Styela clava: one gene and its partners. The protein of the gene in region 2 purifies or fractionates together with the protein of the main gene of each other region. This does not show direct contact. Links are inferred from orthologs where the notes say so. Each region holds a gene or a part of one and is shown on either strand. Other genes may lie near its edges. The genes, in order: F-box/WD repeat-containing protein 2-like, cullin-1-like, F-box/WD repeat-containing protein 5-like and F-box/LRR-repeat protein 4-like.

The links.
Region 1: the proteins of cullin-1-like (region 2) and F-box/WD repeat-containing protein 2-like purify together in Homo sapiens (affinity purification with western blotting; 13 studies listed by BioGRID and IntAct, with this or other methods). This does not show direct contact. The link is inferred for Styela clava from reciprocal best matches to the Homo sapiens genes CUL1 and FBXW2.
Region 3: the proteins of cullin-1-like (region 2) and F-box/WD repeat-containing protein 5-like purify together in Homo sapiens (affinity purification with western blotting; 9 studies listed by BioGRID and IntAct, with this or other methods). This does not show direct contact. The link is inferred for Styela clava from reciprocal best matches to the Homo sapiens genes CUL1 and FBXW5.
Region 4: the proteins of cullin-1-like (region 2) and F-box/LRR-repeat protein 4-like purify together in Homo sapiens (affinity purification with western blotting; 4 studies listed by BioGRID, with this or other methods). This does not show direct contact. The link is inferred for Styela clava from reciprocal best matches to the Homo sapiens genes CUL1 and FBXL4.

What each region holds. Positions count from the first base shown.
Region 1 is NC_135258.1:9,386,660-9,394,017, reverse strand, and holds F-box/WD repeat-containing protein 2-like, read right to left. Parts: upstream 2,446-7,358; 5' UTR 2,445-2,445; coding exon 570-2,444; 3' UTR 511-569; downstream 1-510. Other genes in the region: A-kinase anchor protein 14-like, read left to right, coding at 1-76; centrosomal protein of 135 kDa-like, read left to right, coding at 7,052-7,358. UniProt on the Homo sapiens protein: Substrate-recognition component of the SCF (SKP1-CUL1-F-box protein)-type E3 ubiquitin ligase complex.
Region 2 is NC_135252.1:8,233,845-8,240,819, reverse strand, and holds the start of cullin-1-like, read right to left. Parts: upstream 3,011-6,975; 5' UTR 2,871-3,010; coding exon 2,863-2,870; intron 2,371-2,862; coding exon 2,277-2,370; intron 1,586-2,276; coding exon 1,536-1,585; intron 1,150-1,535; coding exon 951-1,149; intron 351-950; coding exon 183-350; intron 1-182. UniProt on the Homo sapiens protein: Core component of multiple cullin-RING-based SCF (SKP1-CUL1-F-box protein) E3 ubiquitin-protein ligase complexes, which mediate the ubiquitination of proteins involved in cell cycle progression, signal transduction and transcription.
Region 3 is NC_135255.1:1,742,007-1,749,943, forward strand, and holds the start of F-box/WD repeat-containing protein 5-like, read right to left. Parts: upstream 3,021-7,937; 5' UTR 2,835-3,020; coding exon 777-2,834; 3' UTR 1-776. UniProt on the Homo sapiens protein: Substrate recognition component of both SCF (SKP1-CUL1-F-box protein) and DCX (DDB1-CUL4-X-box) E3 ubiquitin-protein ligase complexes.
Region 4 is NC_135250.1:8,735,978-8,743,955, reverse strand, and holds the start of F-box/LRR-repeat protein 4-like, read right to left. Parts: upstream 3,018-7,978; 5' UTR 2,920-3,017; coding exon 2,651-2,919; intron 2,403-2,650; coding exon 2,253-2,402; intron 346-2,252; coding exon 276-345; intron 1-275. Other genes in the region: uncharacterized protein LOC120348461, read right to left, coding at 6,160-6,272, 6,449-6,689, 7,142-7,304, 7,751-7,872. UniProt on the Homo sapiens protein: Substrate-recognition component of the mitochondria-localized SCF-FBXL4 ubiquitin E3 ligase complex that plays a role in the restriction of mitophagy by controlling the degradation of BNIP3 and NIX mitophagy receptors.

The DNA of each region.
Region 1 (7,358 bases), on a different chromosome or scaffold from region 2:
ATCAAGATTTCGTGAAATCTGGTTGAAAAATCTTGTTGAAAGCAAAATATTAATGATGGAAACTGTTACATTTTAGCTATTATCAACTACCATAACTATTTTTGTATATCAATAATATTTTATATTTTTCTAAACAACAAAGTGTACAAAAATCGGATGTCACTTCCAATAAAAAAAACACTTTACTTGGAGGCTACCTATCATTAATTGCCATGCCGCTGATGCACCTATATTATAGTTAGTCTCAATATGCAGTGGAAATATTTAGCCTAGGAATAAAGGAATATCGACAAATCTAAATTAGGGGTTTGGACTACTGCTGGGAATAATCCGCTTCTAACAATCTACTCGTACTCTTTTTCTGTGCTCAATCCATATATTACAATTATCCCCTTTTTCAGTAATCACCAATATTCCCAAAATTGTGCTGTTACTGTATTGAAAACTAAAATGGCAGTAGTTTTGTTTATCTGAATATCCAATGCTTTTTTTAATAAATAGAACATTACATATATTTTATATATTTATTTTAAATTCTCTCAGGCTATGATTATTTAACAACAATAATACTATGAACAATCAGACCATTGTAATAAATATATAGAATGGTCTGGTAACGCCGCTGCAAATACTAAACCGGAATGGTTCGCATCACTAAAACCATTCAACCACGATTGATCTCCACAAACATAATTTGAACCTCGTTTTGACCAACGACACATAGGTAAATTCCACCGCCCCAAAACGCCTGGAAGACTTTCCGTTCCAACATTCTGTTGGAGTTGAAAAGTGCCTCCATCGTCGGGAGTTATGTTATTAGATATTACAGTAGGAATATGACTGTCAGTCTTTGATTTTGGTAATTTAATACTGTTATAATTGATATCGTTAATTAATTCATCTTCAACTGTGCTACTACTATTAGGTATACCATGATGTCTTGCAGAATCGTCTGTATTTGGGGTTTCAGTAACTTCCAGGCTTAGTTTCGTCGAAAATTTTGGAAGTTTTAATGATTGTTCAGGTAATGAACTGCTGCAACAAGCCTTACAGGGCTCTGATTCGACTTCATAGTCGACCGTTTCCGGACTAGGACTTGGGTGACTAACTGAGGGATTATTTTCTAACACTAGTTTTTTACGGTTTAACAAATTAGGATGTTGCGATTCTGTGGTGCTATCAAGCACTCTAATAAACAAACAGTTTTCTCGAGTGTCTGCAGCAAAAAACATAGTTTTACCCGCTCCAAGTAGAAAAGATGGGTCGTTTTGATGAGGAGTTACTCGAGTTAGAGTATAGTCTTTAAAATCCCATTCCAATACTCCTCGCTCGGATGAGCACATAATCCGTGTGCCATCAAAAAGAAGTTGCGGATGAAGGAAGCAATGTTCATTGTTATCATCAGTATTAAGAGGAGTAGTAGGATAAGATGGCATTGAATTTGATAAAAGTTTATCACTACAATCAGTAGCTGATAATTCACATAAACTTTGACAGTTGACCTCCTCACTTATCAGCCATATTCTTATCTCAACCTTGTCCATAGATAAGATAACATAATCACCAGGCTTATGGTGAAGGGAATCAACTTCACTCTTTCTTAAAATGACTTTTGTTACCCATTCTCTATGTCCATGATACATGTTTATTTGTTCACCTGTTGAAAGTTGCCATAAACGAACTGTTTTATCTGCCGATCCAGATACAAGCAACTCTCTTTCATTGTCATAAGAGACGCTAAAAACAGCCCCAGTATGTCCTCTATAATTCCGAATCATGTCTCCCGAACTCCACTCCCAACATCCAATCGTGTTATCGAAAGAAGCAGTGTACACAAAATATTCATCAAATGCAAGATCTGCACATGTATGAGTCTGTATAATCTGTAAACATTCTCCGGTTACCACATCCCAAAGTCTCACGCTTCGGTCATCTGAACCAGACGCCATCAAATTATTTCCGTTGTATCGAAGAGTATATACACGAGCCGTATGTCCAAGTAAAGTTAATACCTTAAAAGCAGAACCACTTTTTAATTGCTGTAGTCTTATCAGAGCTCGCTGGTAAGTTTTTTTCCAATAACCTCCAGACATTATGGAATCATCCACTTTCCACCCGATAGTCTTGCATGCTTTTAACCATGCTGGCTGACACGCAGAAACAGCTTCATTCCAAGTTTTACTGACTAGGCAGCATCGTCCTAATGAAATGGGATCTAGCCAGCTCAGAAGATAAATACATATTTCTGTTGGAAGAAATCGAACAAAGTCCCGCTTCAAAAATATTTCCAGACGATCTGAAAGATATTTCAGTTCGGGTGCTTCACATGCATCTATAATCCCATCCAATGCTGTAATTTTATCTTCAGTTGACAATTCTTGAAAGTCTGCTACAACTTTGGACAACCAGTGATTCATCTTAGAAAATTTTATTTTTTCTGCCATATTTGCTAAAAAATAGTATCAGAAGTAAGATTAAATAAATAGCATATTGCCCAGGCTTTGATGACAACACAGGTCTAAAATATTAAAAATGGTTCTGGCATGGGCCAGACATATGTCGTAGCCTCACACAGTGTGTAACGAATGGGTTATATTGTTGCAAGGAATATTATTGCATAATCAAGTAATTTAAAGCATGTTGTTTGTTGTTAAGTATATGAGCCTAGACAATTGGAATTCAATGGCATTATCTGGAAGAAAATTTTTTGGTGCCAATAAGCATTACTCATTTTAGAATGAATAGAAGAATGTGATATTGCCATTGCAGCACGAAACCCCAAGAACGAATTAATTAGTCTTTCAATAAAATTATATACTGATTATAAAAAAAACATATATTTAATAAATATATCTATCAATAGAATAGATATAAAACTTGAAAAAAACAGTTATATGCATATTACGGTAAGTGGGATATGTACGAAATAATTCCTAAAATGTTCAAAGGACCAAAAAAATACTTGCTGTGGAAAGAATCATATCAATATAATCATATAATATCAATATATTAAAAACTTTGACTCCAAGCCCCTGAGGTCCATAAATGTCTAACTTATTTGAGGTTTGAGCAGGGATGGCCATTTCCGAATACATTCTAAAATCGAAAATAACATATTTTTTTTAGTTTTAGTCCATTAAAACCCAGTAAAATAGGAAATAAGCTTCAATAGAAATATCAGAATAAAGCCACAAACCAACAGTATATGTACACAAATTAATTGATAGTTTATAGCTATCAATGAAAATAATAGCAACTTGTGACACAGTCAGTTGTACACTTAGTACAAATGACCATAAGAAAAGATAGCCAAGGAGTTGTCTGACGCTTTCTATCAATGGTACCATGATTTTACGATAATAGTCAAGTCTATTGACAAAAACACTACTTGTATTCAGATAAGTGTGTATATTTTCTGAGAGTAATAAAATTCATTGGCAATACAGGCAACTGAAGCAAGGAACAACATTCGAATATCCATTATGTCTAGAGCAGGGCTTCCCAAACTAGGGGCCGCGGCCCTGGAAGGGGTCGCGAAGAGAACACCAATTTTACACAAAGTACTATATCTATTGCACTTTTTCAGACTCCTAATTTGAAATACAATCATTAAAAATAGTGTAAAACGATAAATTCACGATTCCGAGTGAATATACATCATCACACCGTGTTTTCCCGATAATAATTGTCATCAATTTTCTTTTGAACACTGGAGCTCATTTTAGGGGGATGTTGAGAATAACGAGATTAATATACGAAATATGAATACCGGAATATGATACAAATTTAATAGCACGTTTCCATTAAAAATAGCGGCTACATATAGGTTATCAACAATTTAAAAAGTAGATTTCTTTCAACTATAGGACTCAGTAGTTTTCGAACTTAATTGTATTGTGACGACCTCCAGAAATATGCTCAAGTTGCGACTTCCCGTGAAAAATACCGTACGTATTGATACATTTCAATATAATATCTTTTAATATAATATAATACCTTTTTTGCATTGAGTTTAATATAAACGAACAAACAAAATCTAACAACAGTCAGTGAAATCGAATTCAATGGGCCATGGTAGAAAAGCCTGCTTAATATAAATACGAAATCGCAAAGGAGATGTGGTGCGCAACGCTTTTTGAACCAAGTAGAAATAATCTTTATCTACAGAAAACCGAACTTTCAGAACATGAGAATCTCATCGAACATGAGTGAGTTTTGAGCATTTTGAAGAAAAACTAGGCAGAGTTGAGCAAGAAAGATTTGCACCATTACATTGAATAATTTGAGTAAAGATGTTTTTGTTATTGAGTAGCCCTATTAAAAGTTAAGAATTGGCTGTGTCAATAAAATATTAAAAAGCATATTTTGAACTTTTTAGCATTATTAGCGTGAACAAGGGCCGCGAAAAACTTTAATATATCAAAAGGGGCCGCGAGCTCAAAAGTTTGGGAAGCCCTGGTCTAGAGTATTCTACTACCTACCAGTATATTTGTATATTAATTTATGTGAACTATATTGTTATTATGTGTATCATATTGTTATGTCTGAAATTAGCAATAAGTTTTCAAGGATTTCACGATTTTCGAAATCGGAAATTCCCATTGCCTCCTGTAACAGCCACCGCGATTCCGCGCTCGTTCCTTTCAGCGTATAATGATCATCTTGTCACGTAAAATATTCAATCCATGACAACTACGAGATTCTGAAATATCTTTATATATTAATTTTATGAGTCAAACGTAACTCGCAGTTGCTTCTTCATACGTCTAAATAAAAACATTACTATTCGGTCCACGGCGATCTTATGGCATAGTCAGGTGGGGGTCAGGAATAACATACAGACATATGCAAAATTCGTTATGCTATGCCAACTGGAAGTAATTACAGAATCATGGTAGCCTACAGCTGTACAGTGATACTAAACTACTGAACTATACTAGACTGGCTGGTCAACACGAGTAGAACTCTCCTTAGAAATGGATATGGCCTAAATTGATCAGCAATAAACAAATACAGAAATATAGTACCCCAAGCATATTACCGAACTGAAAAAACATTACCCCGACTTTTACAGTTTTACTGCTGCCGCCAGTCGGCGGGCGTGAAGGTACTTGCTTACCGTACTGCCGTATGGAAGAGATATATTTTCGAAATTCGCATCACTTACCTAGGAATAAACTACTATCAATAACGTATCAAAACCGGTACCTGTAATATATTTCATTTTGACGAGCTCCACAATGTGGATTATTAAATAGTCAAAGAATATCGTATACTGGTATACATACAACAGAGCTGTGAAACGATAATAGAGAACATAGGGTAACGATGTTTTATGTCCGATCTTATCTGAGAAGTTGTGAGACGCTAGATGGCGCTATTGAATTGAAAAATTACAGTCAACCGTTTCCCTCTGTTTTTCGAAACTTACCGTATGCTGTGTTGTTTACTTTGCGGTGCCGTCCCTCGTCGATTTTGACGATTCGCTCGCGGATTATTGCCGTTGGTTGTATTTCATTGTTAGGCTCATTAAAGAATCGGATATGGAATAAATTATTACTAACGAAGGATGATCAAGTGAGCTATTGAAATAATTATTTTTTGTAGAATACTTAAGGCTGCCTGCAACGTGTTAGCCTAATTAAACTAAATTAATTTTGTGTTTGTTCGTTTATTGTTTTGTTTTATACCAGAGCGACCGAAATAAAATTGATTGATTGATTGATTAAACTGGCAATTCAGCATTTGTCTGAATGATACCTAGATAGAACAGTTTTACTTCTGTCCTCACTGTTTATAATATAAATATTTATTACACCTGTGTTTTTGAGTTGCCCAGGAAGTTTATGCCCTTTTTTGAGAGACAAGGGAGTGCTTGTTTTATTGAACCTGATGTCTGAATGATGGGACATCTCGGAATGGAGAACTGTGCCAAACTGTCAGACTGTTGAAAGATGTTATTGACAAAACTGCAAAAGACATGCCTTGATTTTAGACTACATAAAATCTGGGGTCTAGTATAGTTTAGTACCACAAGTACTTTCATTGGGCGTAGCATAACGAATTTTGCATATTTTATTCCTAACCACCACCTGACTATGCCATCCAAAAATTACGTCACTACGACGTCACCATCACGTCATAGGGCTTGCCAAATTATAATTACGATCGCCCGAAATGGCATCTGCTCCTCCGATAACGAACTCGCTAAAGCCGGCGATCTCTCTCCTATCGTGATCGTTGTGACAAGGAAACGAGAGAAATAGCTTGCTCGATTTCGGGTGATCGTCTGCGCGATTTGGACGACCATCCACATACTTTGGTGGGCCTTATTACGCCACTGCGACGTCGAGATGACGTAATTTTTTGGTGACGTAGTCAGGTAAGGGTTAGGATTGACATATGCAAAAATTGTTGAGCCAGGCTAACTAGAAGTGAATGTGGTACTAAACTATACCAGACCCAAAATCTGTATAGTGGTCGCAAATAAAATGCAGATTTGAGTCGTTTGCATACCTATCTGTAAAAATCATGACACAGTAAATCAGATGAATATTTAAAATAGGAGTTTGTATGCATTTCTGTTGTACTTGAATAACTATTGTTTTATTGGATGCCATTTTCTATTTCAAACGAACAATATTTGAATAAAGATATATTCAAAATCCAGTACGTCACAGTTCTCCGATTCCAAGAGAGAAGCCCCACATTAAAATACATCAATTATGACAGTGATTGCAAGCCGAGCATAGTTAGTAAATAACCGTTGTTACGGTGCAGCAGTTAGCGATATATGTTGCTACTATGGTGAATAAATATCTGTAAATAACACTATAAATATTTGTGTATTTATATATTATTGTTTTTCAATAACTTCCAAGGTGAATGTAAAACAGAATCATAACTCGATCAGTTTTGTGTTTAGAAAAGTCTGCAAACCACTTTGAGCGCACTAGCATAAAAAATCATGAGCCAGCGTTGAATGTTGTTGATAGTAATCTATTTAAGAGGTTGATTAATCCATGAATTGTTTCCTTGCAGATGATTCACGATGAACAAAGTTACAGAACAAAAGTTTGTGACCCTGCGAAAGCAGTTGGATCAACTGGGTTATCGTCATGCCTTTGGTATCGATTCTATGCCGCTGGTAAATCAATTGTTCTCGGATTTGTTGCACACGACAGATTCATTGAAGAAGGCAAAAGTTAATTTGCATAAAGCAGCTGCACCAACAGCTAATCCAAATATTGATGATATTTTGGAACCATATAGCAAGGACAACGCTCGTCTTGTACAAGAGAATAACAGTCTTCATTTACAATGTGTTAGATTGAAAGAAGAAATCGATGCAACTTCGA
Region 2 (6,975 bases):
TTTCAATAACAATGATGAGTCTTTGATGAGTATGATGACCCATGACTTTTTGATCATGAAATAGATTGATTTGCTAACTTGTTTTGTATTGGATCATATTGACAAAAAAACAATGTAAAATCTTTCAAAATCTTTATAGTCAAGACAGAAAATTCTAGTATAATATGAATAAAAAAACTCACGGAATATATTTTATAAATATTTTTCCTTCCTTCATTACACTCTCTAAGAACCCAGTGTCGATTCAAGTAGGCACAAACACCATTTAATACACGACTACTGAATTGAAAACCCATCCATTGTCTTGTGTAAAAATGCAAAACATCTTCCCCAAGAAGATCAATCCCCTCCTGAAAATGAATTCATCAAAATCAATATTTTCAATCTTAATTATCAAAACAAGTGGGGATAGAAACAACAACACAGTCAAATACTGGATAATCGCGGGGATATTTCCAGCTGTACTAAATACTTGAATTATCGAATATATTTCAAATTGGGATATGATTAACGATGCAGATATTAATGTATATTCATTATTCAATGAGTTTCAATTCGGAAAAGTATGATTCGTTTTCTATTTTTCACAGCCATCAGTCACTAATTAAATTTTTGACCATATAGATCTGCCACTTGGTCACATTGAAACTGTTTTAAATTATATATAGAATCAAGAATATATAAAAAAAATATATAAGTACCGAAACTATGAATAGATCCAATTGTTAAATCCATGACTACATGAATTAAATTCAACTTCTTAGAAGCAAATAGCCAGCTCAAGAAAATATTGGAACATTAATATTACCGGTATATGAAAAAAAAAATAGTTCAACATGATTAATGTGTAAGTCGAAACACTAATCACATCGAAGGAATTTGTTGGTAAAGATAACAAAATAAATGAACAGTCAGTTTTGGAAATACCGGTGGTTGGAAATTTCACGTACCTGGAGTATACTAGATAAATAACTTTGCAAATATGATCGGAGTCTTTTGTACAGTTCATGCCCAACAAAATGTGCACTTTGAGCATTCTGCCATTTCTTTCCCGGTGATGATTTGAAACTGTTATTAGAAACTATTGCACCTGGTGCTTGACGTGAATTCCCACTAAGTTGAACGCATGTGCAGTAATTGTATACATGCCTGAAATTATTTGGATAGACCACTAGGAATGATATTTTTATATCTAAAATAAATTGTGACACCTGGGACATAAATCATACATGTCTTTTATAGAGAGATATTCAGAAACAATACAGAATGTTTTTTCTGCCAACCCACCATGACCCAGAACATGCGATGTCAAATTGCATACATATATGACATACAGTAAATACACATATATAATTAATAAGGAGATGCGCGACATATTCAATTGAACATTCATATTGGTGTTCATTTGTTTTGTCTCTTTGTCATTAACCTAATATGGTAAATCTAGATTAGACTATATGTAAAATAATACCAGTGGGTGGCAATCATTAAATTTCAATACAATTTTAAATTATGGTGGCAACAATAACGCTTACGTGTAGAGTTCAATATATCTTGGCTTCGTCATACTTTTGATTGTGTAAACCTTAAATAAGAAGTATTGCCATATATAAAAAGAAAATTTTGATAAAAATGTTTTATGAAACGGAATGCAATTATCATTCATAATATTAAATTTTTTACATTAAATTCTATATTTCCTGTACAACCTTCAATTTCCCTCCCCATACAGGATGGGCTCAAATTTTAATTAAAAATTAGGTGATATTTGGTAGCAATAAAGGCTAGCGTCGTATCTTTGTAACCAAAGTAAGTTGTGGCCTTGTTTTGAAGCTACTTTCATTTCCTACCAAGAAATATAAGTGTGGGCCTTTCTACAACATTTGAATGTGATGAAATATTTTATACAAGTATATACATTTCACGAAGGAGTGGTAGCAGAGATTACCCATAATAGGATAAACACAGAAAAATATGTTTATACAGATGATTATTTTACACAGAAGGTTATTCGATATTGCTTTTATAAATAAAAGTTTTCATGTCATCAGAAAAAATTCATGACGTTTTTCACACGATAAACTGGGTAGTCGAATTCAATCGATGACAGATATAAGACATTAAAATGGGATATTCGATTGACCTCAGCCCGGCAGCGTCCTGCTGACTTATCAGATAAAAATAGTCACTTCGGACGCTCCACTCGATGTAACTTTAATTTAAATAGAAGATATGACGACACTTGCATCCTGATATTTAATTTAAGCAGGATTTACCTGATCCATCCCTTGTTTTAAATCTTCCCATATTTGTGTTAAACCAATCTGTTTTCCTGTTAGTGATCCAGAGTTCATTCCAGATTTCCTGGAACTGAAAATACATTTATTATAATATATCAATAAAATTTGTATAATGTATATGTATAATGTAGTCTAAAATGGTCCCAAGCAAAGCAAATTTCAATTTTGTACAGGATTCAGCATAATAGGCTATTGAATTATGTCAAAGCAGGTTATCGATATTCACATTAAGCCATATCATTCACAAAATGAAAGTTGTCCCTAAAGTTTCAAACAGTTTAAGTAATGAAAGATGGATGTGTAACAAATTCAAAATTAAGATGGATTTCAAATCTTAGATTTGCCAGAATCGACATTGTGTTGGTAATTACAAAGAATAAAGTGTTTTTTTATCCATCTGGCTTAAGTAACCACCAATCGAGCACCAGTTAACTTTAAGATCAGATTGAAACGTACACTTCTAAAGAACACATTTTAAATCAACCACCTACTGACCTATACAAATAGAAAATTTGTGAAAAAATGACAGCTGACCACATGAAGAAAATGAAAAACAGCTTACTTAGACATTATGAAGTTTGCTGATTACAACTTCTGGCAATATACAGATTAAGTTACCAGTGTTATCTTGAAATAAATATTGACATCTGATACACTGTTATGTTTTTTTATGTAATAGCTGAATAGAAAACAGATCAAGATAAGTAGGAATCTTGGCTACAGATATAACCGTATCGTAAACTTTTTCTCAAAATTATAACATAATGCTTTATTGTTAGGATATTAATATTCACACAGCTATTACTGTATTACAAAGGATCAGATTCATTTGATACAATACAAAATTTAGTGGGATTCCTGGAAAGCAGTACTGGAGTAGGACAGTCGAAATATAAATACAACAGAACTCATGAAAAGAACATTTACTGGTACTGACTTAAGTACTGCGAGTAACAACGGTTGTGTTGAAAACTGCAGAGCAAATAGACTGCTAAGATAAGAAGAAAAATTGTGTCTAGTTTAACTTACATTCAGGCATTAAGTTAGGATATAAAAATTTATCACGTGGGGGGGAGGAAAGCCAATAAGATGGCATAATCATATGGCGAACCACAGCCTCTCACCCGGAGACCAGCCAATGTTGCTTGAGATCAGTTAGCCAGTTATTTGTTTTCGGAAGCACAGAAGCATGGACTTGATGGTGGAGGATGCCGTAATCGACCAGGGTTATGTGGGGTGAACCACCCTCTGACCCTACGGCGGCGATGAGTCCAGCAATGCTTCTGCACATACAGACATACCTATCGCACAGGATTCAAACCTGCGAACCCATGCAGGGTTTGGCGAGCGTATTTCTAACGCTTTGAACGATGCACCGCACCACCGAGCCGCATTAGTGCTGTAGGCTAGTGCACCTCATTCCAGAATACTGGAATGAATAATTCAGATTTTCTAAAATCTGGTTAATGAGTTAGGTAGTCTAACTCCGTTGCATTTCCACAAATCTGCTCTTATTACTTCACCTAGCAACCAATTTCTGAATTGTGTTTTTGTTAAGGACTAAGGATTCCTGGATTCACATATTTCCAGTATTTTGTTGATATTCTTACTGTCTTATGAAGTAATTAAATCGGTAAATAAACAGAGAATTGTGGAGATAACGTAGCTTACTATCACGCGCTACATACTAGATAAGTCTACACGTATTTAAGCTAAAAATCACCGAATAATCGAATTGTTGTTGATTTTAATACAAAGTATTTAAATTATAAATAAGTTAACCAGATAATTGTTGGGATAACGTAGCTTATACCGCCATGCGCTTCATACTGGATAAGTCTGTACGTATTCAAGCCGAAAATCGCCGAATACTGGAATAACACGAACATCTACGGCTCGGACAACCAGCTCAACAAACAATGTAATGCGAACAAAGAACAGGCGAAGTAGCGGCGAGTCAAATTAACTGAGCGACAGCCCAACAGCTAAAGCCAGAAAGCGGACGAGGCGAGACATAGCACACAAATAAAACGACTTCAGATGAAGGCAGTGTGGCGGTATAGAGCAAATAACTACCGTGTTTTCCCGAAAATAAAATCCAACCCGAAAATAAGACCTAGCCTGAATTTTAAAAATGATCCTAATATAAGCCCTCCGGGAGGGTTGCCAACTATGGAAAGTCCCAATAAAGGACATAGATTACCGTCATCATTTATTTTGTAACTTGCAGGAAAGAACAATATAAAACAACGAAATACATATATATACAAGCTAAAAAGATATATTGAAAAGTCTTCATGTGCTTTTCATTTAATGTTAGTCAGTCAGTAATTTATTTCTTCACCAAGCTGAAAGTACGAATTTTACATACACAAATAAAGAAAATATAAAAGACCGCATTCCAGGGTGAAAGGAGACGCCGAAAACCAATTCTGGTTATCGAGCGGCGGCACCCTCGGGGAAGTCTAACAAAAACGTGATAAATATAATTAAATCGAACAAAATATATTACTTGATAAATAAATAAAGAAACGCAATCGATGCGTCAAGGCGACCCGGTAAAAACCAAGCAATCGCCGTTTAAAAATAAGAAAATCGACTCCATGCACCACAGTCTAGGTAACCATGGAAATTATTAAGTGAACCAAACAGACTTGCAGTGTGGTCATGGCAGGTAAATAGTTCGGCTACGGTAAAGTGCAACACAAGTCGATTGTGTGCATATAAGTGTCCAGATTGAAATAAAACTGGATGTTAAGAGTACGCAAATTGTAAAAGTATAGAATACCGTACCAATCAAGTATGGAAATAACAAAATATTGACACTTTGAGGCAGAAACAAGCTAGTAGTGTAAAAGCTAAAATGTTGACCTGGACTAACAAGTGTTTTGATGCTGGAGTCAAAGATTCACATACGGGAATTGTATAGACATGAGGAAAATATACATCGAAATATTCAGCAGTATTAATACAACACAATGAAGTGAGTATCATACCATAGAAGTAGACTAGGAAAATTTAAAAAAAAAATTAAGTTAATCAAAAGGATAAAAACAATTGACCTGGATCACTGTTACCGAAGCATTATAAATAGTAAAAACAAATACAACATTAGGCTTGACTGCCCATAATGAAAGTAATCAGTAGGATGCCAATTAAGTTTGGATCCCAGTTGAGGCATGTAAAATGGCATGGTAACAATAAGTGTATTTATGGGCATTGGACTGTAGGCATGAATTTGTCATTGGCAGTTAACAGAATAGATATCAAGAAATTACACACTAAATAGGAGACCAAGATCATTGAGGAGCGGGCTCAATAGTAGGGCAAAAAGCCTGCAATATTTTTTTGTTATATAATTTTAGTAATATAATTTTTGGCTTTACCTCAACCCACAATGTGTTGGTGACAGAAATACTTGTCAAGTGGCTTGTGCCCATCAGTATGGAATACACAATTAAAATTATAAGCTAAAATACAATACGAATATTTACACGAGGCATTGTTTTGTTACAGGTGATTTGGATCGAGACAAATGATGAGCTGGCAGTGACGAAAAGATTTGCTGGGACAACATCAACTGGATGTAGAGGCAGTGGAAAGGTAAAGGGAGCGCATGAATTTTTTGTATTTGAATTTGAAAGTGTCATAACTACAGTTACGTAAGTTTAAGGGAATATTATTCCAAGTTACCACACCTTTATATTTCAAGGAGTTTTGGGATTTGCTTAGAGAAAATCTGGGTACAAATAAATTAGACCTTGTCGAAGAGCGTGTGTTATGATCATGCACTTTACTGAGCGAAACAAAATAATCGTCGAAAGCAGCGGGCAAATGGTTGCTATGAAACTGATGCATGACCTTGGAAATCTCTAGTTGATAGATATCGGCTAATTTTAACACCCTGGTCTTATAGTATAGGGTGTTTAAGTTAGATCGAATGGGTGCTCTAGAGAGAATTCTAACTGCTCTATTTTGTAAAACTTCCAAACTGTGCAACGCTGATTGGGTGGCGGAGCCCCATGCAGTTATAGCATACTGTATATGAGACTGGAAAAGTGCGAAGTATATGGTTCGGAGAGTTGAGTCCTGGACGTAATGTCTGAGCTTACCCAGGATTCCAACTGCTCTTGACAGTCTCTTATGCAGTTCAGTAGTATGAGTGTTCCAATTTAGTTTGTCGTCGATAAGAAGCCCAAGATATTTGAAAGAGTGGACAATTTCGAGTGTGACACCCCTGATTTTAATTGAAAAGTTTTCATGTCTGGTTCGAGTTTTAGGACCAAACAACATAACTTTAGATTTTTTAACATTCACAGTAAGTTTATTGCATACCATCCAATTATACACTTTGTTAATTTCAGTGTTCACCTCGGCTTGCAGTGAGATTAGATTCTTTGCACTGTCGAGCAGACAGGCATCATCGGCGAAGAGTTTGCTCAAGAAATTTGAACAATTTGAAAGATCGTTTATGAAGATTAAAAAATTCAAAGGTCCTAATACGCTACCTTGTGGAATTCCGTAATGGATGGGTAATAACGAAGACCTGTGAGAATCTAACTCCACATATTGATAACGTCCGGACAGGTAATCATTTAATAACTTGCCTGCGACACCTCGAAAGCCAAAATATCTAAGTTTTTGAGAGAGAATAGCATGGTCGACAGTATCAAAA
Region 3 (7,937 bases), on a different chromosome or scaffold from region 2:
CTTCGTAACATTCAGTAACACAAAAAAATGGACGAGTACTAAATTTGTAGCCTATCGTCGACGAGAATCTCCAAATGCGTCAGAAACAAACGGGAGTTATGGATTGGATAAAATTCAGTTTGGTTTGTGTATTACTACAGAGTCAGACCAATGAGACTCGCATTAAAAACACAAACAATTAAATTAGTAAGATAAGTGCGGTAAAAATTAAAATAACAAACTGACAGAAATGTTAAAATAAATATTATGACGTGTTTCAGGGAACTAAATGAAACCAGCAAAAATTTTGCTTAAATACGGGGTTCCGTAAAAAAATATAAGTAACAGATTTCTTATAGCATCATGAGTATGGTTACTGTTGGGGTTCATTGTAGTCTGCGTCGACAAAATTGTATCAAAAAAATTTGATGGTAGGGAGAGCCATGCGTTTTCTAGTCAAGACATCATTTGAAAAGTAAAGTTACAAATGGAGGTAGTGCACGATGCATAATTGCTCAAACCTTCTGGTTCACTCGGAATTGATAGATAAATTTAAAACATCCTACGGTTTCACTAATGCCTAAGTTACATTTAAAGTGAAATATTCAAGCCCTGTTTGAAATTCATTGGATGCAAATTTTTGCAGTAAATTAACCAAATATGCGGGATTGAACCACTCAAGATACGGCGATCGATCACGTTGGCCACCTCTGCACTATAAATAATATAAGGTAACCTTGTCATTGAATTGAATGATACTATTCTGCATTCCTACACTTCAGACCTATGTATTTCTGTCAGGAACATGACACAGACTTCATACGACCTTTTGCTCTTGCGCTGCTCAATAGTCTATGAAATGACTTTGATCGCCATATTTTGATTGAATTATCATCACTTACACTCACAGCCATGCTGGGATCACGAGGGTTCAAAGCAACACAATTAACAACATCCACATGTTTGAATGTGGAGAGCAAAACTCCGTAATATCTATCCCACAGGTAACCTTTGAGATTTTCTGATCCACTAGAAACATACAAATCATTACATGAAATATGAAGAAAAAATACATCACTGAAAGCTTCATGTCCTTCAAATGTAGCAATTTCCTCCATTGAAATCAGGTCTATTAAACCCATAGTAACTTTCGATGAAATATCCCGAGCCCAATGCCGAGGTGGAACTTCTTCATCCCATTTACGTACATTCACATACAAGTATCTTCCGCAAGGAGTTATTGACATACCCACCAACTGACCACCCATTTCGATAACATGGTCCCAGTTGTCAGATCGGACTTGAGGTCTCCCTTGTAGATTAATCGAATCAGACTCAAACTTTTGCCGAATGACATCAGTACACTCTTCTTGCTCAATTCTTTTGATTCCGATTTGATGAGGAACATTGAAGTCGTTTCCAGTAAAACATAAAAGTAGTTTATAATGTGAGGGTGAATTAATAGGCTGCGAAGCTTCATCTCCGGTTGTCACTTCTGTTGATTCACTATCATCTCTGTCTAGTTCATCATCTGTCAGCTGAGGACTTGCTGTTTCAGAAAATAGATTGCTGCTGTCTGTTTCATTTTCAAAATCAGTGATACATCGCTTAACAGAAGGAAGCAAAACAGACGATTCCTCCTCTGTATTCAATGATGTGTGATCATGAGAGACAACACTACTATCAAGCTTTATCTTTTTACAATTGCTAAATGTTCCTTCATATATATCATTGGTGACTCTTGCACTGCAAGATAGAACATTTTCATCACATCTGTCAACAATTTTATCACTTTCTGATGGAACGTTGTTTTTGTCCAAAGAAATTCTCACAGTGATTGAAGACACAGTTTCTAATGGAGTGGACGCTTCATGATTTTTGCAGGCATTCATTGATGATTCTGCTTCCTTAATGTATTCTTTATGTTTGCCAAATGCTTTCATGTGCATATCATGTATTTTTCCTTGGTAACAATCATTAGATACAGCCCTATAAACTTGTGATATAACCTTTTTCATATCAGCCACTTGAAGATAACTCACAGTGTTGTCATTTTCACAAGCAAACATATATGCACGCGTTACCGTCGAATGCATTAGGTTTTCTATTTCCTGACTCGATTTGTTAAGAAGGACTTCACACAGACATTGGCGACGGGCTGCTAGCAAATGAGCTCTTGCAGACAAGATATGTGTTTCATTAAGCCAAGTTCCCATTACATCAAATGGCTTTATTCTCACCCTTGCCTGTAGAGTGAACTCTTTAATAAAAATATTATATATAATTATTTCTCCTCCTTGTTGAGAGCCTTCACATCTTCCAGAAACTAGAAGTTGAGTATCGCTGCTACTAAATTGTGAATATTGAGTATAAAGCCACCTAAATTGGGAACTTCTCCCTAAATGTTCATTGAAGATTGTGTCAAATGGCCAGTCTGCACTGAACACCTTGACTGATGCATCTTTTGAACATGTACAAAACATCATACCATTATTTGAAAAAGCTACATGTAAAACTTCATCATCATGCTCAAGAATTCTTTCGAATTCTACACTAGGAACAAGATCTACCATTCTCTGATATTCTGATTTCCACGACATTCCATTAGGTCTTAAATCCATTTCACCTATCTTGAAGTCAAGGCGAAATCTTCTTTGCCACAGAAAATTTAAATTTCCGATCTCAAACCATCTTTTACAAGCTAGCGAGCAGCATCCAAGATCTTTGTAGCCCAATAATTTAAAAATTTGAATAAGTGGTTCTGTAGGAAGATATTTCCAACCATGGTGCAAATTTTCAAATTTATTTTTGTTGCAGTTTCCAGATTTCTGCTGGAAATATTGGTCTGTACCCATTTTTGTCTTCAAACTTTAGAAGTCTGCAGACATCACAAATTTAGGTCAGATTTATTTCATTTACAACATATTACGCTAAGAAAGCAACATATTCACGTGTAACATTTTTACTTAGGCTACATAGTTTATTCATTAAAACAAATGTTTAAACCTTACCGGTACTGCCTCAACCTGTCACTCAAGCGTTAGGAATACACTCACCACCGTACCTCTAATTACTCTGCGTGGGTTCGCAGGTTCGAATCCCATGCAGGGATGGTTATGTGCGAGAGTATTGCTGGACTCCTTGCCGTCGTTGGGTGGTTCACGTAACCGCTGGTCGGTTACGGCTTCCTCCACCACCAAGTCCATGCCTCCGAAAACAAACAATATAACTATTCGCTTCCCTGACTTGGAATGGTAACCGGACGAGAGGCCGCGGTTCGCCATACTGCCATATGGATAAGCCGTCTTATCGCCTTTCCTCTCCCCCGGGATAAATATGTAAATCCTATCCTAAGATTTATTATATGTATGCGGACATTGGAATATCATTCGCGGTGGTTATGGCTCATCGTGCTAAGAGTTAGGAATACGCTCGCCACCGCACCTCTGATTACTCTGCGTGAGTTCGCAGGTTCGAATCCCATGCGGGGTTGATTATGTGCGAGAAAATTGCTGGACTCCTCGCCGCCATAGGGTGGTTCACGTAATCGCTGGTCGGTTATGTCTTGGTCCACTATCTGACCATCAAGTCCATGCTTCCGAAAAACAAATAACTAACTCATCCTGTACCCAACATGGAATGGTAACGGACGAGAGGCCGTGGTTCGCCACATGGTTAAGCCGCCTTATCGCCTTTCCTCTCCTCCAGGATAAATATGTGAATCCTATTCACTTAGTACAGCTGTACAGTAGTGAAGTCCAAATAAAAACCTAATTTCACAGGCACAAATATGGGATAGTCATATTGTGCTTCAACTACATAAGATATTAGAGAATATGTATTGCTATATAGAGTTACACTCAATTATATTTACCTATTACAGTAATTTATGTTCGCAAACAACACCGGATGTATACCGGTACGGTACTACTATGTTAGACCTATGTTTTAATGAGGAATATTGTTGTTAATATAATGACATTATATAACTTAAGTAATTTGAAGACATGTTCATATAATAACATATTTGTAGAACTTCTTAACATTTTGAATAGTCTAAAAATTGATCCCAAAGTAAAATGGCAGAAAAACGATGAAAATCCCATCATTTTCACGATGGATGGGAGGTGGATATATTTTTACGTCTCATTTGTGGGGCGATTGTAGCGACGGCAAAGCAAAGAGATATTTCACATCTTGTCGCGCAATCTACCGCGCTAACTATCCACTCACTGGTCAGCGCAGTACAGACAGAAAAAGTTGGCAATTCAAATCATACAGCAATTCTATTTCTATTACGAGACCATTGTTTGGTTCAACCTATCTTTGTGAATCAACATTTTTGACATAAACTCAGGATAGGATTTACCTATTTATCTCGGGAGAAGATAGTCGATAAGACGGCTTAACCATATGGCGCACAACGACCTCTCGTCGGTTTACCATTTCATGTCATGTATAGGATTAGTTAGTTATTAGTTTTCAGAAGCATGGACTTGATGGCGAAGGAAGCCGTAATCGACCAGCGGTAACGTGAACCACCCAACGGCGGCGAGAAGTCTAGCATACCTCTCACGCATAACTAACCTGCGAACCTAACGCTTAGCACGATGGGCCACACCGCCGCGACTCACTCCACCAGGAACAAACACGGAAAAAGCCTCACTGATGAAAATCGGCAAGACTCGCTCAGAGTTACAGTGTCAAGTTACACGTCGCAGTACAACACTCTGCTTACGCTAGTTTCCCGCCGGTATTTTTACAATGAATAAAAAGTGCCTCGCTCGCACAATTGACAAAATTAAATAAACAATATGTAATTTTAATCTTTCTTCATGAAACAAGACATTTGTCTTCCGCTATTTGTCATTACGGCTGAATAACACGTCACGCTGCCGAAAATAATCGGCTATTTTAATAACAACATTAGCGCTGTGAAAATCGTCAATTGTGCGTTTTCACGGCGATTGTTGGTCTCGGATGGTTGGTCTTGATGTTTCTTCCATATCTATAATCGAGAGCAATTCTATAATCGAGAGCAATTATGACGTGTGGAATTTAGAAATCGCCTACGTTTTACTCCATCACCCTTCAAAAAGCACAAAACTGTAATATCACTCTTCAATGAGCACAAAAACGAGACTTAACGCACCGCTGCGCACAATTCGAAGAAGGTTTGCTACTAGCTTCACAGTGGTTACCGTAGTAGTATATATTTACGGTTACACATTACGCTTGAGCGATGCGTTATGGTATTCTCTCCACGCGATATTGTGGCGCGTCGTGTAGTCCTCAGCTATCTGACTGTAGCCGATGTCTAATGGGGATGTAGCTTGTCGGACTGATATGATATCGTTATTTATTGTTCGAAGATCTTAAGCTATTATTCGCTATTATTCACAATTTTTTGTGCTAAGTTCCATATAATTTTGTGGAAGAAAAATGCTAGCGTCGACAATAGTCTTAAAATCAATACCTAATTACATGTTTACCAAATGCTTGGGTCGCAAGAAGTTAAAAAAAATATATTTTGGGTCGCGCTAAAAAGTAGTTGCGGCCCCCTGGTCTATACTGTGACAGATTGCATACCAATACTAATTCGTTTTCGTCTTGATATATTTGATTATCACTCACTTGTTTACATTTATTATTGAAGAGCGATCGGTCTGCATTCCGACGAGATGCATTAGTACGTTTTTATTCATATTTTACACTACAGGGTTAGGTGACATCCTATGCCAGGGGTGGGCAATTTACGGTCCGCGGGCCGGATCCTGCCCACTGGAATGTTTCGTCCCGCCCACTTGTTCCTGCTGGAATTATGACTATAGTTTTCGTGGATAACTGGATATAAATTTCCGTTGAAAATATCGAAAAATTAACAAATCGTATACCGTAATTCCCCTCGTATTATCAGCACCTGAATATAACCATCCGAATTATTTATATCATCCAAAAACCCTGGAGCCTGATATATCAGCGTTTAGACCTGCCCATTTTTTTTTCATTTCCGCAACACATGTTCTTTACTTTTACCCGGTACATCAATTTCAGTACTTAAATCCAATTATTCTGCCTCCCATCACTTGCTAATCTTTCAATGTTATTACTGCACCCCCTGCTGCAAATACATACCTATTGCAGGGTGGTCCAAGGTTATCGGCCTCGAGGGCCACACTAATATTTTTGTATTATTCGCGGGCCACAATATTGCCAAGAATAGGCAAACAGTGCAAAACAAAGCAAACACACAGCAGTTAATAATTTAGACTAGCCAAGCACATTATTCAACTACGCTAGTCTCAGCTAGCCATTAAATTAGTCGATTCAGTGACATTAGTGATGTAGCAATATGTCAAAAGATTTTTCTGGCTATTTTTATGACGAAACGACACCAAATGAGATTTTTTTGTTTACCCTGCCGGAAATGCGACGCGGAACATAGATAATGAAGCGACGGGTCTGGGTCTGGACCACCCTGACCTATTGCTTTACATCAGTGAACTTGAATTTATCAAAAAACGTCTTAATGACTCTTGTTGTTACATTGTACTGCACTCACTTTTGCAATGGTTAAATCGGCGCTGACTACAGCAAATAGAGTTAGTCACTGTATTAACCCAAACTGATGCTTTCAGTAAAATCGGGTATTAATGGTATTGAAGTTACGGTGAAATGCTATTTAAACGTTTTAGGACTGGCGATTTTTAACAGTATCACTGTTAAAAACGGCCAAACATTAAATATTTCAACTAGTATTTCACCGTAACTTTGAAGAGTAACAGATAAATGCCATTTAAACATTGAACGACTGTTTTTTTAACAGTATTACTGTTAAAAACGGTCAGTCATCACTTATTTTACATTGCATTTCACCGTAACTTCAAAGAGTAACGGTGAAATGCCATTTAAACGTTGAACAGCTGGCTTTTTTTAACAACATTACTGTTAAAAACGGTCAGTCGTTTAACGATTAAATGGCATTTTTCTGTAAGTTGAATACTTGATAAACGTCAGTTGTCAGTAATTCGGAGATTTGTTTTTTTATACATACCAGTATTTAAAATTGTAGTATTGCACCGTTACTTCAATATTTCTAATGGCTAAATGCCTGAATACCGATTCCGGGATATCGGTACGGTAGTTGCACCACACTCAGCCACTCAGAACAGTGTTAATTAAGCTTCTTACTAACACACCTACTGTACTTAGGTCTCTTCTATGTTCTCACGTCATAATGTTATGAACTTGCTAGTATCCTGAAGCAGCGGCAATGAAGGTTCCTATAATTCAAAAGCTCAGTATAACCTGTCCAGGGCCGGATCATGCCTTTTCCAGTTTTAGCGGCCCTAAGTAGTCGAGCTGGGAAAATCGTAACAACCGGAACGCAGCTAACTTGTGAAAATGTAATTTATATTTACAACATGACGCGGACGCTACCACAAATTTTTGTCTGTCCTGAGATAGAGCCGAAGGACTACAATGAAATATGAAGAAATTATCTGGTATATGTCTGTTCAAAATTACAAGAATATTTATACCAATTCAATACGAATGTGTTTATTAGAAAGGTATTGGATGAAATTTCACGGGGTCAGAGGTCGGCGAAACATCCATTACACGTTATTGCTGTGCACTAAATATTTGTCTGCCGTAATGTAAAAAAAGTTATGGCGTAACAAGACGTAAGTTAATAAGTAAGTTTACAAGATGTACTAGAACTAGACTTTCTATGACATAATTTTATTTCAACAACCGGAACGCAAATGCAATTAAAAGTCCAACAACCGGAACGCCGTTCCGGTGCGTTCCGGCTACAGCTCATCACTGCCTATGTGTTTACACAATAGAAGTGCTAGTTTTGTATTGCACTGTTTACCTATTCTTGATTATTTTGTGGCCCGCGACCAATGCCAAAATAATTTTGTGGACCGCGGAGCCCACAACTTTGGACCATC
Region 4 (7,978 bases), on a different chromosome or scaffold from region 2:
GAATAAATTATTGCTACCCGCCCTACTTTAAAACAACTTCATTAACAACGCACATCCCTTCTATTGCAAAATTGATCAAAACGTTTCACTTTATATTTGGATGCCCAGGGGCAAAATCATGATGACTGTATACCAGTTGACGGTCAGCAAACTGCAAACAAATTTTTATGGCTGTCACATGACCTCACTTTTATTGCATGAAAACAAAAATTGCTCACTGCCCTAGACAATTGTTTTTGAAAAAATTTTCACACAATTCACAAAAACATAAGCACCTCCCAATGTGAGCATCCTGGTGCAAATGGAACCGGTACTGGCATTGGCCTTTCTTCATTTTGAGAGAGTCTGTAAAAGAAACAATTTATCACAGATTCAATTTAAAACACATTTGTGAAAAATATATTATGGTATATTATATTTCTGTAATGTTATAGCATATTAAATCATATCTTCAATACTTTTAAGTTGGGTTCATCAATCAATTATGAATTATTGATTTGAATTCTATCTCACGAAAAAAAAAGCTTGATTAAACCTATAATATAAAATTATAAGTTCCAGATAAAACATCATGATAATAGGGAGAATGCTATATTTCAATATCAGTAGGGATGGGCAATATAGAATACCGAATCCGGAGGATTCGAATCCCAAAGTATTCGAATCCAACGCGATCCGATAACAGGATTCGGTTTCCGCCTTTCCGGCGCCATTCGTCAATTTTTGTATTTCGGGTTTCTAATTTATCAATTATAGACGAGCGTTTTTCTCACGTGCAAATCTCTCTCGTTTAATTAAACTTGCTGCTCTGCTCGCAAAGAACCCGTAAATCGGTAAACATCAAACACTGTAATTTCAATCGGCATATTCAGGACAAGAAGTCGGCAATATAACCTCACGGCGAAGACTCGTTATTGCACCATTTTTGCGTTTTCCTTCTTTGCTATCTAGCTAGCGTTATTTGTGCCGACTCACTGGTGATATTCCGATAATCTGAATGCAACAATCTTTGATTGTTTACAGACGTGCTTTGCTTCATTTTAAATGAATGATTTTTCGCGACCTACGAGTTTTCCAAAAAAATGATGCACGTAAACCAAAAGCCAGGCGTTAAATGTTATAACATTACTTGCGATCAAATATTATTTACTAATAATTTTATTATACCATTTTCCGAAATACAAAGTTATATCGCAAAACGCGAACATCTGTCACATTTAAATTTCACTCTCAAAACATTACATATTTTTCGGTCCGTTTCTATCGTTCAAGATAGACGCACGTTTGATCGAGTGTCCGTAGTATTTTAGTCGCCGATAAATTTTGAAAGTAGTTGCCGCATCTGGCCAGGATAGTGACGTATTGAATTTGAGTAGGGCTAAGTCTGGGTAGATAATGATTAATGATAACATTTCTATCGTTCAAGATAGAAGCACGTTTGATCGAAAGTCTGTAGTATTTTAGACGACGATGAATTTTGAAAAAAGTTGCCGCATCTGGCGAAGATAGTGACGTATTGAATTTTAGTAGGGCCAAGTCTGGGTAGATAATGATATGTAACGATAATCATAGAAAATGAGTTCGTCTTTAGACGTTATTACCTAATAACTAAGTACGAAATCGCGTTTACGGGAACTTGGTTTAACGTGTCTTGCTCGCACAGAATAAAAAGTTGATTTTAATTGATAGTGGTTAAATTTAATATTTTACAAAGGCGCATAGGTTGCGGTGGCCACACGCTGGTTCTGCATCTAATTAATTCTCAGCGGGTATGTTTTAGTACACTCGACAGACTTACATTAATAATGATTTAACGCCGTTTCATGTCTATTTTGTATTTAACCGCTTACTATTAAAGTGTGTAAAGCGTGTCTTAGTTTAGCATATCAGTATTTATTAGATTTAGGGATTTAGGGATTACATACATTTGGAACAATTGATGGCAAAAAATATTGTAATATTCCTAAATTTTATTGTCCTGGGAACTGCCTGTTTAGTATCAAATGAAATCCAATGTTCAGGTCATTTCCAAATAAATAATACATTTATAGTAAGTAATACATTGCAATTTTTTAACATCTAAATCCAGCAATGTGGAAATTCCCAATGAAAATAGAATAGGATTCGGTATTCTGGATTCGATTTAACTATACTAGAATATTCTAGAATAGAAAATTATTCTACATTGCCCATCCCTACAATATCAGTGAAAACCAACTTGAAAAATCAAAGCAAAAGAATGATTTACCTACCCAATATTATGTACTGGAAATGATTGTCTTAATGCAAGTATCCTGACCACGGCTCCAGGGTTGTAGGTTTCAAAAATGGCAATTGACCATGGGTAGACAGATTGATCAAATACTAAATCAATGTAATCTTTGCTGAAGAAGTTTTTTTCCCTGTACAAGAATAACAATAATTATAGAACGCCTAGCTTTACTGCAACAATTTTTTCAAACTAATCACACAAAAGGAACTTATTCGTCATGTTCCAACTTTCAGCAGCGGAGAACAAGATTTCTGTATATACCATAGTCATATTATTGAGCAGTTTCATCCTCTTTTCTCTCCCCATGAATAAATATGGTAATACGAAATTCCGTTAACATTTTTATTACGGTAAATAATTTGTAAAGTGATATCAAACCTGGGATGTCCAGTTGCTTTAGATGCCTCATTTTTATCTTTCCACCATGGGCCATAAGTTCGGAACACTGCAGCTTGAGTGAAATCTCCATACGATGGAAATATTCTTGGTTCTCCGGCAATATTTGCAACCGAATAGGAGACACTTCTGGGATTTTCTCCCCCATACTGTGAACTAAAGTCGATTACACCAGAGGCATATTGCTTGATAAATTTTGGTTGATTGCTTTTCATTCTTGCGCTTTTGAAATGTTGTCTACAATCAGACATTTATAAAAGCATAGTTTAGCAGCGTCACTTCTTTAACAATTTATCTATTTACCCTAACAGCTAACAATATTAATCATCTAAATATCAGTAATTCAAAAAATATTTAGCTAGCTCTCCACAAAAAGAGGACTTTCAGACAGCTTCAGCCACGAATTGCCTTAGGCTATAGCAGTAGATCTATAACAATATACCGCAGTAGTGATCGGGAAATCCTGAAATATAGGTACTTCAATACACTACCGGACTGCACTAACAGACTAGAGTATAAAATACAGCTATAACTAAAGAAGACAGATACCGGTATCGCCGAGGCTTTACCTGATAATCCAACCATTATCTATTTTTCACACATCTAACGAATTTGCTTTCTCCTGCAGGTGGAATCCTATTCTCGTATAATTTGTACTCAAGGACGCTTGACACTTTGCAACCTTTGTTTACGTTTTGTCAGCTGACTGTAAAATTCAACACGCTCGGGTGCGCTGGCATGAAAACATCAACGTCATCTGCGTCGTCATAAAATTTACCGAGGGAGAGTCAAACGTTTCGAATTCTGATATCTGATATATTGGAAGACCACGTACTCGCAGTAAGAAAAGTTCGAAAGGCATGATTGTGTACCATTGCTTTACAAGTGGCGTTGAATGAAAATAGATAGACCATGGTATTCTCTGTGAAGGAGAAGATACTAATGCCAGAGCTACCGTTAGAGGGATCGTTTATTTCAAGATTTTCAGGATAGGAGTCTCATATTTATCCTGAGGGAAGAAGAAATCCTATAAGACTGATCATGAAGTCTACGCCTGAGTACCGCGGCCTCTTGCCCGGGTTACCAGTCCATTCCGAGTTTTGGATGAGATAGCTGGTTATTTGTTTCAGACGGATGGAATGAAGCCGTCATCACCAGTAGTTGCGTGAACCCTACAACGACGAAGACATGCTGTTGCATATAATCATCCCTAACGGGATTCAAACCTGCGAACTCACGCAAGGTAATCAGCGGCGCGATAGCAAGCGTATTCCTTACGCGCAACACACTGGTTTCAAACTCCCATGATCGGATTCCCTTCGAAATACCTCAACACTTGTGACCCCTGAGCTTCTATAAAATTATTCAGTTTTGCTTGTAACGTGTTTCCATCATCTATTTAATGTTCCACGTTTTATAATGAGAAAGCCAACAAACGCAAGCAGATATAATAGTTGCATTATAGTCAAAGAAAAGAAGTAAACAAATCGTAGTCAATCTACTCATAAATACCTGTAGGCAAATTAATGTAGGCATGAAGACTAATACCCCATGAAGGTCTTTGCTCGTGTGGCCCACAGGGAAGTCGAAGTCTTGGAAGATAAACCAGAAATTGGATGTTATTCAATGAGTTTCAATTTTACAATGCCGCAAGTCATAGACTACCGTGCTTCAATGACTCAAAATGATAGAATTACAAATGAAACTATTCTAAAAGTAATTCAGAATTTTACCAATTCAAAATTCCGGATTTTATCGTATGACTTTATTTGCTCGAAATGTTAATTTATCCTTTTGACGCAACGGCGCCGTGTCATCATCGACCAAAAGGGTCTCGTCCTGCGTTTACAGCTTTCCCGAATTCGTAACACTCCTGAGGTTGTTATATTTAATATGGGTCGCAGTTTTGAAAGACTCACTGGTTTCGCCCAAATTTAGTTCGATTACTTAAAACGTTAAAAAGTTTTGAAAATATATCTTTATATCATCTCTCCTTAGAACCATCGATTTAACACTATTATAATAATTACTTCTTATTGAGACCTAGGTCTGCGTTTCTCCCGCAATCATTGCTTTTTTTTACTCAAGACGCAAGCGGTACTAAAGCAATATTAACTGGCGTTTATTATTCGCAAACGAACATTTATCTAATAAAAATAAATATGTGATTGAGTGTATCTCTATTTAACAAAAAAAATCATGTACGGCTATTTTGGGTATTCGATGCATCCAATAAATATATTTTTCACTACCAACCTTATTTATTCACTAGTTATTTAACAACAGTTTATCCTAAAAAATATTCGAAACTCACATTCCTGTCTACAACTAATATATTAGTGGTGAAATAGCCTTTTTAATCGGGACATAGCCAACATATCCATTTTAGTTGGGACATTCCAGAGTTGGTTTTGTGGTCGGACTATTGCCTCCTTAAAATCCCGGCAGAGTTAGCGTTTGTCTTTCTTGCCTATCACCAGTGGCACTCAGGGAGTTCACGCGAATCCATCCCTGGAATGTCGTGGTCGTGCACCGCAGTTGAAGATCAGCGGTATGTTGGGCGTTTTTTGTTATATATTAGATTTATTTAAAGCGTGTCATGTTAATGCATCTTACGTAGTGAGATACATACAATTTCTAAAAATTTGGGAACCTGCTGTTAATTAATGAGTTCTTGAAATTTTGAATTGTATCACCATATCTTCCTGCTTGTCAAAAGCCTACAGACTGTGGGGTAATGGTACGATCATGCAGTCGTCAATTGGGCTGCCGCCAAATTCGTACAAAAATAAATGCAAAACCAACGCTTCTGGTATCAAATTAATTAGCAATTTTGATGACGTCATCGCACACAAAACACGAATCGCATAAAGGCCACTTCTAGCGAAAAATACAATCTTCAACCACTGATAATTTCAAAGCAATCGGTTTAGTAGTTATTAATGAGAAAATCGATGTTTCCAAAACGGTAATAAAAAAAATACTATCAACAAGAATAACAACAACAACATAATAACAGAACAATCCATATGTACGTTTCGTGTCCAATAATTCGAATTGAAATCTTCAAAATCAGCATAACAGCTTCATCAGGATCCCATAGTATGGTAATTTTTTATCGCAATTTTGTGATTGATTTTTATGTAAAAAAAATCTAATTTCACCATGACAAAAAAAGTGGGACACGAAACCATCAAGAAACGGTTGAATATACCCTGCTAATTAAATTATATTTATGGTTGCGGTGGTGAGAGAACAATGTGTAAAACCAGCCCACGGAATGGCTTTCATAGACGCTCTACGTGAGAATTAACCAGATTAATTCACAATTTTTTAACTCAAGCCCAGATTCTTTATGGGTTTTCGTCACACGCGGGACAAATGCCGAATACCCCAGCAATCACAAAAATAAAAACTACTCATTCTTTCGTGTTAATAAATACAAATACATTGATAATACAAAATATTTTATTTCTGAAATTCCACAAAAATCACTTTTCATCATGTGCTATCCACACTCGTCTAAGATATAATAGAGCTCCGGCAATCAACACAATCAATAAGATAAGAATTAACCCGCCGAATATACAGATTAAAAGAAGTTCTGTAAAAAAAGAAAAAATTTATTAATATAAATACTAGAATTTTACAATGCAATTTGAAAATTTAGACAAACTATTTTATACGAAACAGATTTACTTGAACTTCGGTAATTCATTTAGTTCAGTTAATAATTTACTGTACACTACTAACTATATGGGGAAAAAAGTAGGAGCTTACTGGGATGAATTTCGTCTTCTTCTCGGGAACTATTGATTTTGTTCTTCGTGTTTATTGGCTTCACATTTGCGTCTGTGTAATTTGTGGATTCAACTAAAGGAATAACTGTTGGTTTCATCAAATATATCGTAGTAGTAAATTCTTCGCCGTTGAATTTGAGAAAATATTTGTTTGTGGAATCAGCAGAGGAATTAGGCTTTATAACATCGTTCAACGTTCTCTTTCTTCGTGACGTACATTTCTGTTGATGAATTACAATTAGAAAAGTCTACATTGCGAAGAAATTATTAAAAGAGTTAAGGATTGTTGTTTTTGCGCATGGCTTTTACGAATAGAGCTTAGGACATTTACCCACTGATAGAAGAGGAGCTAGTAAGGTTCCAGAATTGTCTTCGCTTCAGCTTCGATATTTCCTACCCAATTTCAAATGAGTTTAAACGGGTGATATACGATGCCATAATGACTCGACTCGCTAACCTCGTGGGTTGATGGGCCCGACAGCACCCTATTTCTAATTTTATCTTGTACTTTCAACTTTCTCAAAATGATAAGAGAGTTACCAAAAAAAACGTCAAGTACTAATTGTTCATTTGGTAATCTTGCTGGGAGGATGGAATCGGACTTTCCGGTAGTGGTCGCCACCAGAGTTCTTCTGGTCTAGAACAAACATGATTATTGTATACAAGGCTTTACCGGTTGGCAGTTATTGGAGGATCCTTTTATGCATAAATCCATAAAACATCTTATTGTTGCGTTAGTACTTTCAGATGATACAATTTTATTTAAGTTAACTTTCAAAGATGATTCCAATGATGTACCGCTGGAATAGATTTCTGTTTTTCCAAAAGCTGAACACCTGGAAATCATAAAATAAAATATATTTGTAAGTGTCTAATAATGTCATTTAGAGATAAAAAAAAAAGTATAAATCCACAATTCAGATGCTTCAGAAAGTGCTTCGTCCCGGGATGATACAACTCTGCAACTGTAGGATGGAAGTCGGTAGGCTAATATCAAGTGTAGTTCAGGTGGAGTGAATACTGCGCACTCCGATGCTCACGTTATGACGAGTAACTTTATGGCGTGGTGGCGATACTAACTGATATACTTAGCTATTTTTAGGCATTGGTAAAAATGTTATAAACAAAATATCAATATCGTGAGTTGAATACTTGTTCTGCAACTGAAGCTAGGCCATATAGAAATGATGCAGCCCGTAAAAGTGATGTTACATGGTGATGGTACAGCATTGTAGTTGCAGTTTTGTAACTACAATTTCTTAGATATTATACATTTTCATACCCATCTTTTACGATCTGATGCTCAATTTCTGCGTCTTTTATCAAACATTGTTTTATCACTGATACAACTTTCACGTTTTCATCATTTTCTGGTTGAAGAAAACCGGGATCTTGGATTTTAATCTGAAAAAATCAAATTGGTCATATCCAATTTTAAATATATTCCAGGCTGACAACTAACAACTTAGGTATTTTACAATGTGCTGGATGGTGTATGAAGCCTATTGTA